Xenopus tropicalis: one gene and its partner. The protein of the gene in region 2 purifies or fractionates together with the protein of the main gene of each other region. This does not show direct contact. Links are inferred from orthologs where the notes say so. Each region holds a gene or a part of one and is shown on either strand. Other genes may lie near its edges.

The links.
Region 1: the proteins of vcam1 (region 2) and msn purify together in Homo sapiens (affinity purification with western blotting; 3 studies listed by BioGRID, with this or other methods). This does not show direct contact. The link is inferred for Xenopus tropicalis from reciprocal best matches to the Homo sapiens genes VCAM1 and MSN.

The regions. Positions count from the first base shown.
Region 1 is NC_030684.2:40,641,565-40,645,390, forward strand, and holds part of msn (moesin), read right to left. Parts: intron 3,538-3,826; coding exon 3,263-3,537; intron 2,811-3,262; coding exon 2,727-2,810; intron 2,111-2,726; coding exon 1,964-2,110; intron 1,529-1,963; coding exon 1,432-1,528; intron 392-1,431; coding exon 228-391; intron 1-227. UniProt on the Homo sapiens protein: Ezrin-radixin-moesin (ERM) family protein that connects the actin cytoskeleton to the plasma membrane and thereby regulates the structure and function of specific domains of the cell cortex.
Region 2 is NC_030680.2:108,895,531-108,899,456, forward strand, and holds the start of vcam1 (vascular cell adhesion protein 1), read left to right. Parts: upstream 1-1,422; 5' UTR 1,423-1,581; coding exon 1,582-1,627; intron 1,628-2,576; coding exon 2,577-2,858; intron 2,859-3,879; coding exon 3,880-3,926. UniProt on the Homo sapiens protein: Cell adhesion glycoprotein predominantly expressed on the surface of endothelial cells that plays an important role in immune surveillance and inflammation.

The DNA of each region.
Region 1 (3,826 bases), on a different chromosome or scaffold from region 2:
CTAGGTATATAAGTCCCTATATCCAATACAGACCATGCAAATATGGAGCAGCCAAGCGCTTGGGTTCTGTCAGTGAAGTCTCATCACTTAACAAATGGTTTCATCTAATTAAGCATAAAAAAGTACAGATCCCAAAAGATAATGAAGCAGAAAGTTATGCCCCATTTCCCCTATGTTAAATTTCTATGGAAGTGCCCTGGCTATTTGAATGTAGGTTTCTCCGTCACCTCTCCATCTGCTTCTGGTGCTTCTCCTCTCGTGCTTGGGCCTTCATTTGCTGCACTTCGATGGTATCGGGTTTTCGGCGGCGCATGTATAACTCATGGTTCCCCATGCAGAGGGCCAATATCCGCTTGTTTATCCGTAATCGTGGAGCATAAAACACAAAGTCCTGGCAAACAAGAACAGACTTCATGGAGCATGTGCATGAACACTACTCAAAACATCCTCCAGCTCTAGCCCTTAGCTCTGGCCCTTAGTAGAAGCCAATTTCCTCCACTTTTGGAAACGTGACAAGGCAGAGCAATGTGGCAGGGCCAGGTAGGTGGGAAGGGTTTAAACTTAGGACAAACTCCACCGACCCCCAATGAATTATATTGGGATCAATTTACCGAATTATATGAACATTTTAGCAGTGGTTATTGGGCCCCACAGTAAGATCAATAAACATATAATGCAGAGTCCCACTGGGCCCCCTATAGTTCCTAAGTCCTCACTTCCAGCAGCTTTTCAGTAAAATGGGTTTGATTCATAGTAATTGTGGTTAAAAAAACACACATCCATCCAGTCAGGGATCCCCAACCTTTTGGGTCACTTGCCACACTCAGATTTAAAAAGTGTGGGTGAGCCACACAAGCATGAAATAAGTTATTTGGGGATGCCAAATAAGGACTGCGATTGGCTATTTGGTAGCTCAATGTGTACTTCTGGCCTGCTGGAGGCTCTGCTTGGAGTAAAACGGTGTCTCTGTGCTTCCAAACTTGCCTCCAAGCCAGAAATGTGAAAATGGGCATCTCCTTTGAGGCCACTTGGAGCAACATCAAACGGGGTGGTGAGTAACATGTTGCCCCAGAGCCACTAGTTGGAGATCACAACATCATGTTCAACCTTTTGTCCAAGCTAACCATGCCTAACTGCTTGATGATCTTTCAGATAAGGAACATGGCCAAATATTTTGGTATTATGCCTTTGTGTTCATGAATGGTCCCAAATAACTGATATTGGGCCCCAATATTCCTGATGTTCGCCCTACATTTAATAGCTTATTGTAAGTTTAGTAACTGATATAGGTCTCTTTGATGGCTTTCTCTATGTGCAGTGAGTGATTAGGGACTCCTAATCTGCCTTACTCCAAGCCAAACTCATTCCATGTAACAAAACCTCAGCAGGTAAACACACAATAGCACAGGGGAGGCCAATTCACAGACTTACAGGAGCTTTCTTGTCAATTGGTTTGATTACAAATTTCTTGTCGTTGAAAGAAATGTTTCGGATTTCACTCCATGGAAAGCCAATCTTTGGTGTTAACCTGGATACAAAAGGGACACAGTCACACTTACAGTACACTCGTTTTTAACAGTATTATAGCAGAAGAATTAAAGAAAACTAGATTTTGGCACAATGTGGAAGCACTAAAGGAGCTAATCTGTGACAGAGCATTCTATATCTCTATGCAAGCCCAAGCAAATCTGGATATGTTTTTCCCAAGTACAGAAGGAAAGCTCTATGTGTACAATAAAGTAAGCGCTGATGGAAGTTGTACAGGAATAATTTGCCTTAACAATGGGTGATTTTTATGCTAACTTATAGCACTTAAATGCATGAGAACAGAATTTTCTCATTTTGGTGGCTTCCTAGAGGGTGTCATTAAAGTTACTTACGCCAGAATTGGAGTTTGGCCAGACACATTTTCTGGATCTATTAGGGAACCCGACTGGTCCAGGAGCAGAGAGGTGCAACTTACCGGTCATTCTGTTCATAGATGTTCAGGCCGAGAGCATCCACGCCAAGCCAAAGCTCTGAGCCTTTCTTGTTTTTGATGCTGAAGTAGTTGACACCATACATCTCCAAGTCCTGCGCTATCTTCAGGTATTCCAAAATAGCATCCTCCCTGCACACACAGGACAAATGGTTGAATGTAGAGGTCTTTGTCTGTCTCTAACTTCAACAGCCAATCATTTCCATGTTTGATATCCTTAAAGTATTAGTACAGCTATGCCTACATATTTCTCTAGGAGTGTTCTTTAGGCAGCTAATGCAACACATCTTTATGGGAAGAAGTATATTTGGATGAACAGTACAAAATGTTTGTTGTTTAATTTTTTCCATTTGTAACAGGTCAAGACAAAAACCCTTGCTGGGATTTGGGGTTACTGCTTATATGCCATATTAGGTATTCCCCAAAGCCTATTCTTAGAGCAATTACAGAGTAGATTTGGATGCGAGGGGACCGAGTTAGTGTTTTATAAGAGCCACAACAGTAAAACAGGTCTAGCACAATCCTTTTCACTATCTCTAATATTTTTTTCAAGGTGCTGATCCATTTAGTGGAAAGCAAAGTAACTAAACACAAAGTCAAAACCACTGACTTGAGGCCTTTACACTTTACCTTGTGCAATTCTTTTAATCCAATTGAACACACAGGCTTTGTATTTCTGCCTGCTACATCAATGCTTAGGCCATGGTTGTGGATTAGGTAGCGCTGCAAGCCACCAATAAAATGTTACCTTAGCATTCCACGGTGCTCCTCATGCCAAACATGGATTCTCTCCTCCCATTGGTCTTTTGAGAGCTTATGCTGCTCCAGAACTCTGTAAAACAGAGAGTAAATTGTCTCAGTTGCAACATAATATCCAATGTGCCATCTTAGCCAACTGTCTTGGAAAGCAAAAATCTTCCCAGTAACTTACTAAAATATGTCTACGTTAAGGTGGAGATGCCAATGCTATGAAATGACAATCAAACTGTAGTGGATGTAGTTTTTAGAATTATTCTATTTTTTATTACTGCTGCACATAGTTTTAACATGCTGCAAACTGCTAAGTCATACTAGAATCACACCAGGTAAATGCCTAACTTACACACAGATTAATACTATGCACCAAATAGAATTTGCTAAGACTCAATAGTGAGTGATTTGCGCCCACTATAGTGAGGCTAGATTAAGGGAGGATGAAGATCCTGCAGCTAGAGAATGGAGACCAAAAGTGATTCCTCCTGCTCAGGGCTGCACCCCCTGTGCCGATTTTTCTTTTTCACTTACCTCTGTGGAAGAAGCTTATCCCCTGATAAGTAGCCTGGCTTCTGGCATTCTTTGTTGTAATCTCCATACTTTGCCTGCACGGCATATGATGCAAGCAGCACTGCAGTCTCTGGGGGGCAATAAATATCATCATTTAGGATCCCCTCCTTCACTTGTAGGAAGAAAAGCCTCTGGGTGATGTCCTGGATCAGCTCCTCAGACACATCCTCGGGGTAAAACTTGGCACGGAACTTGAAGAGAAGCGGGCTATCTTTCCGAACATCCTGGGCTGTCACCTGAGCAAGACACGGACACAACCAGTCTTTATTGATTCAATGAAATACTCATTTCATTAGGGACCTTTCCTTGCCAATGCATCTGCAGATATCAGCGCTATCAGCATGGAGAAGGAAGTGCACCACCCATCACTGTGCAGACTAGCAGGAGTCCAGGGGAACAATAACAGAATTACAGAGATACCTTGTAACTCAAGCTGGGAAAGAACAAGGTGAAATAAAGCAATTCCTTAATGTACATTTCATCCACCAATCTTCTTGGTCTTATACTGCAAAACATCAAGGAATA
Region 2 (3,926 bases):
AATTTTACCATGCAATAGAATACTCTATTCTTACCAACTTTTCCAGTGGTCTTAATTTTTTCCTTATAATAGTTTCTGAATTATTGGTGTCAACTTTCTGGCTCTTTCCAGTTGGCAATTTAATATGCTATCTGGGTGTTGGGGGTCACTGACCTCTGCACCCAAAAAAAAGTTTTGTTCTGTAAGGCTACAATTTTATTGTTATTGATACTTTTAATTACTTGTCTTTCTATTCAGGCCCTCTCCTATTCATCCTCCCCATCTTATTGTAGGAAAGAATTTAGTCAATTATATCAAACATATTTGTGCTAAATGGAGCATTATGTGTCATTGCCATCATATATGATAATATACACAAATACAGCAATGGAACTGGGCTTTAAATGGCCCTTTTCAGCATGGAGTTAATAGAGTGAGGGCAGGCACTGACAATTGTTTTCTGCTCAGAAGCTCATGATTTTACTGTAAAACAAAAACTGTAGTACCGTGTTAGCCAGTGTCAAAAATAATAATAAAAAAACAACAAAACACAAATACAAGATTATTGTAGAAATGATACCTATATTGGCTAACAATAAAAATACATTGCAAGCTTTCGGACCACAGGCTTCAGGACATGAAGGTGTTAATTCTAAAAGGGAACTTTGGATCTGAACGAGAAAGGAAGATCTATGAATTCAAATGTATGGAGTTATTTAACACATTAAGACAGGGCCTTAATTTGGGGTCAGGTTTCATGTCACACTATCTGATCTGACTGAATCCAGACCCCTGGACTATTTACAACCCACCCTAATAAACCTTAATTACTTTCACTATCTTCACAAGTTATCTCTATCTATCTGTAACTTCCTAATTTATTGCTTGTAAACACTTCTCTCTGATCTATCAGTATAAATGTTGTGCCATTTCAGTTCTCATTTGTATTTTGCCTGATGAAGGGGCCTTAGAGCTCCGAAAGCTTGCAATGTATTTTTATTGTTAGCCAATATAGGTATCATTTCTACAATAATCTTGTATTTGTGTTTTGTTGTTTTTTTATTATTATTTATGATTTTACTGTGAAAGGAATTTTTCTGAACAAACATCCAGGGATGAAGAATAGAACCCAAATGAGCGTCAGAACGTTCACTGTCCACCTAAATAGTTAGCTTTTCTTGTATCCCTTTTCTGCAGATAACTACAGGCTATATACATTAGTGTTTCACTCCCATATTAAAGCTGTGCACAGTTTAAATATAAACGGCTACATACATGGAACACACAATCTCTGTGGGACAGATATTTGTCTGAGATGATTAGTAAAATTGCAGTTCTGTACAGCAGAGGGCAGTAATGCATCTCCCTCCCAATGTCGTAAGTGTGACTTTCCCTGGATGGAATCTCCCTTCTCATCTGTTACCTTATATAAGGGGGGAGAAGGATAATGTGCATCAGTGTTAACTGAGCTCTCAGGCAACACAGGACATTCTGGGACTTACATCCAATTTCGTTACTTTACCTTGGAAGCTAAGAACCAAGTACATTCTTTTATTGAGCAACTAGAATACAGGCACCTCTAGCTTTTATTAAGGATTCCATATGGAGACTGTAAAACTATTCTCTGTTCTGGCACTGTTCATTGCAAGTAAGAGAAACCATTTCTATTTAATAATTTTGGCTGTGTGTTATAGTATGTGCAAAACTTATATGTATTAATAATCATTAGAATAAGGAGAAAGTTTGTTGCAAAAACTGAGCACATTTCATTCAACGAATTTCATGTATCTATAAATTGGCAACATATTTTGCAGGACTGTATTTAACATATAGGCTGTACAGGCTGTTCTGGCAATAACACTACTTCTGTTACACCACAAAATCTGTCCTTTTAGCCGAGATACTTCTTTGTAGGCTGCTGCAAAATTGATGTCTCCAGCTTCAGACAATAACAATTTGTTTTAGCAATCTGAAGCTATGATTTAAAAAAAAAAGAAAAAAAAGCAAATTTACAATTGTTGTGTGGCTGAATACAAAAGCCATAGAAGAGTGAGAGAATTCTTTAAATGTGGGTCTGATCATTTAATACTATACAGGGAAAGAGTACCCAGTGCGTAAATTAGTTTTCCATACTTTCCAAGAAAAGATAAGACTGCAGCCAGTGTAGCCAGCTCTATCTACATTTTTCATAAGTGGAGACCATGTGTAACGTAATGTAAGTTAAGAACGTGTAGGTATAGTTATAGTATAGTTTCCCTTTAAAGAGAGTAGGGAGTTGAGATGGCACAATTAATGAGTAACTGAATAAACAATGAAGCAGTATTTCATGTTCACACAGAATATAATATTTTTCATTGAGAATGTGAGTTGATAAGTTGCCTTACTCCTTTTTGTATTCATTTCCCATGGGGGGCAATTGCCTTGTAATAATGTTGGATATTATTTTCAGTGATTATATTTTGTGCATCATAATCAGGCAGTACATTTCCCAGCATCCACCAATAGTAAATGCTAGGTGCCAATTAAGGACTTCAAAGTGGATACGCCTGTTATAAATTATGCTTACAAGTCCTTGTTGTGTTTCTTCTCTCCCAAAGCCTCGCTGGCTGAATTTCACATGTCCTTGGAACCTGCACAGAGGGAGATTTCTCTCCAGATTGGGGAGACATTCCAGTTCATATGCGAAGCATTTGATTGTCCCAATCCCACCTTTAACTGGGCAAACCTAATGGATAAAACATTAAGTGGCAGCGTAAGCACCGAAGGCAGCAGGTCTATCCTGACCATGCAGGTCAGCCATGAGAGTGAAGGAAGTTACCGGTGTAAAGTATTCTGCAATCAAATGAAAGCAGAAAAAAGCTTCACTATCAATGTGTACTGTAAGTCATTCTATCTGTACCAGTTGTTAAATCCTTGTTCTGTGTTTAAAAGTCCCTTTATGTTTTAGAGCACAAACCTCAATGCTAAAGAAGGCACTACACACATGAGAAAAGTGTTGGTGAGAAAGCTCTCAGGCTCAGAGTTCTGTTTCACACATATTATGCTAGAGCTGCATTATTTCCATTCCTCTGTTCTATTTTGGCTGTTGTGCTTCTGTGCAACACACTATGGTGTCCAGTTAAATAAAAGTTGCTTATAAAACAAGGACAGTTTTCTGTAAGGCCTAAACCCTGGGTCAGTGTTACACTAAAGAGTATCTGGACATGAGATCAAGCAATGTAAATGTGGGGTGTTTAGCCAGCAGCCTTCCAACTGTTACATCCCTTAGCAATTCTATGAAGCCTTTCCTGTTGGCTGGGTACCAGAAAGTGTAAAGTAGCAACTGCATGTTGGTGAATGGTAGATCTAAAGGTCTCAAGCATTATCTTAGGACCTGGGGTTTTCTATGTAAGTGTTTTTTTTTACAAATACTGAAACACGGTTAAAGAGGTAGCTCGCCCTTAAGTTAACTCTTAGCATGACATAAAATGGACAAATCTATGCAACTTTTCAACTGATCTTTGTCTTTTATTTTTTCTAGCTTTTCTATTTTTTTAATTATTTGTCTTCTTTTGACTCATTCTAGCTTTCAAATGGGGAATGAGGTCACTGACCCCGGCAGACAATAAACTGTTGCTCTGTATGGGTACAATTTTAGTGTCAGTAAAGCCACCCTACTGCAGGACCCAGTTGAATGCTCATTAGGGCTGGGAGCATTATTTTTATACATCCCCATATAACTGTGAATCTTCTGAAGTAGCTTTTATTGACCCAACAAAGGCAACTCTACAAAAGCTTTTTTTTTTAAAAAAAAACTATAGTAATGTTCCCAAGTTTCAAAGATGCTTTGGAAGTTTCATGCCAGTTTTCTTTCTTTTTGGACTTTCAGTATAACACAGATTATTTAATGCTTTATTGCAGCTTTCCCAAGTGATCCTGTTCTACACATCTCATCCCTTGTGGCTGGG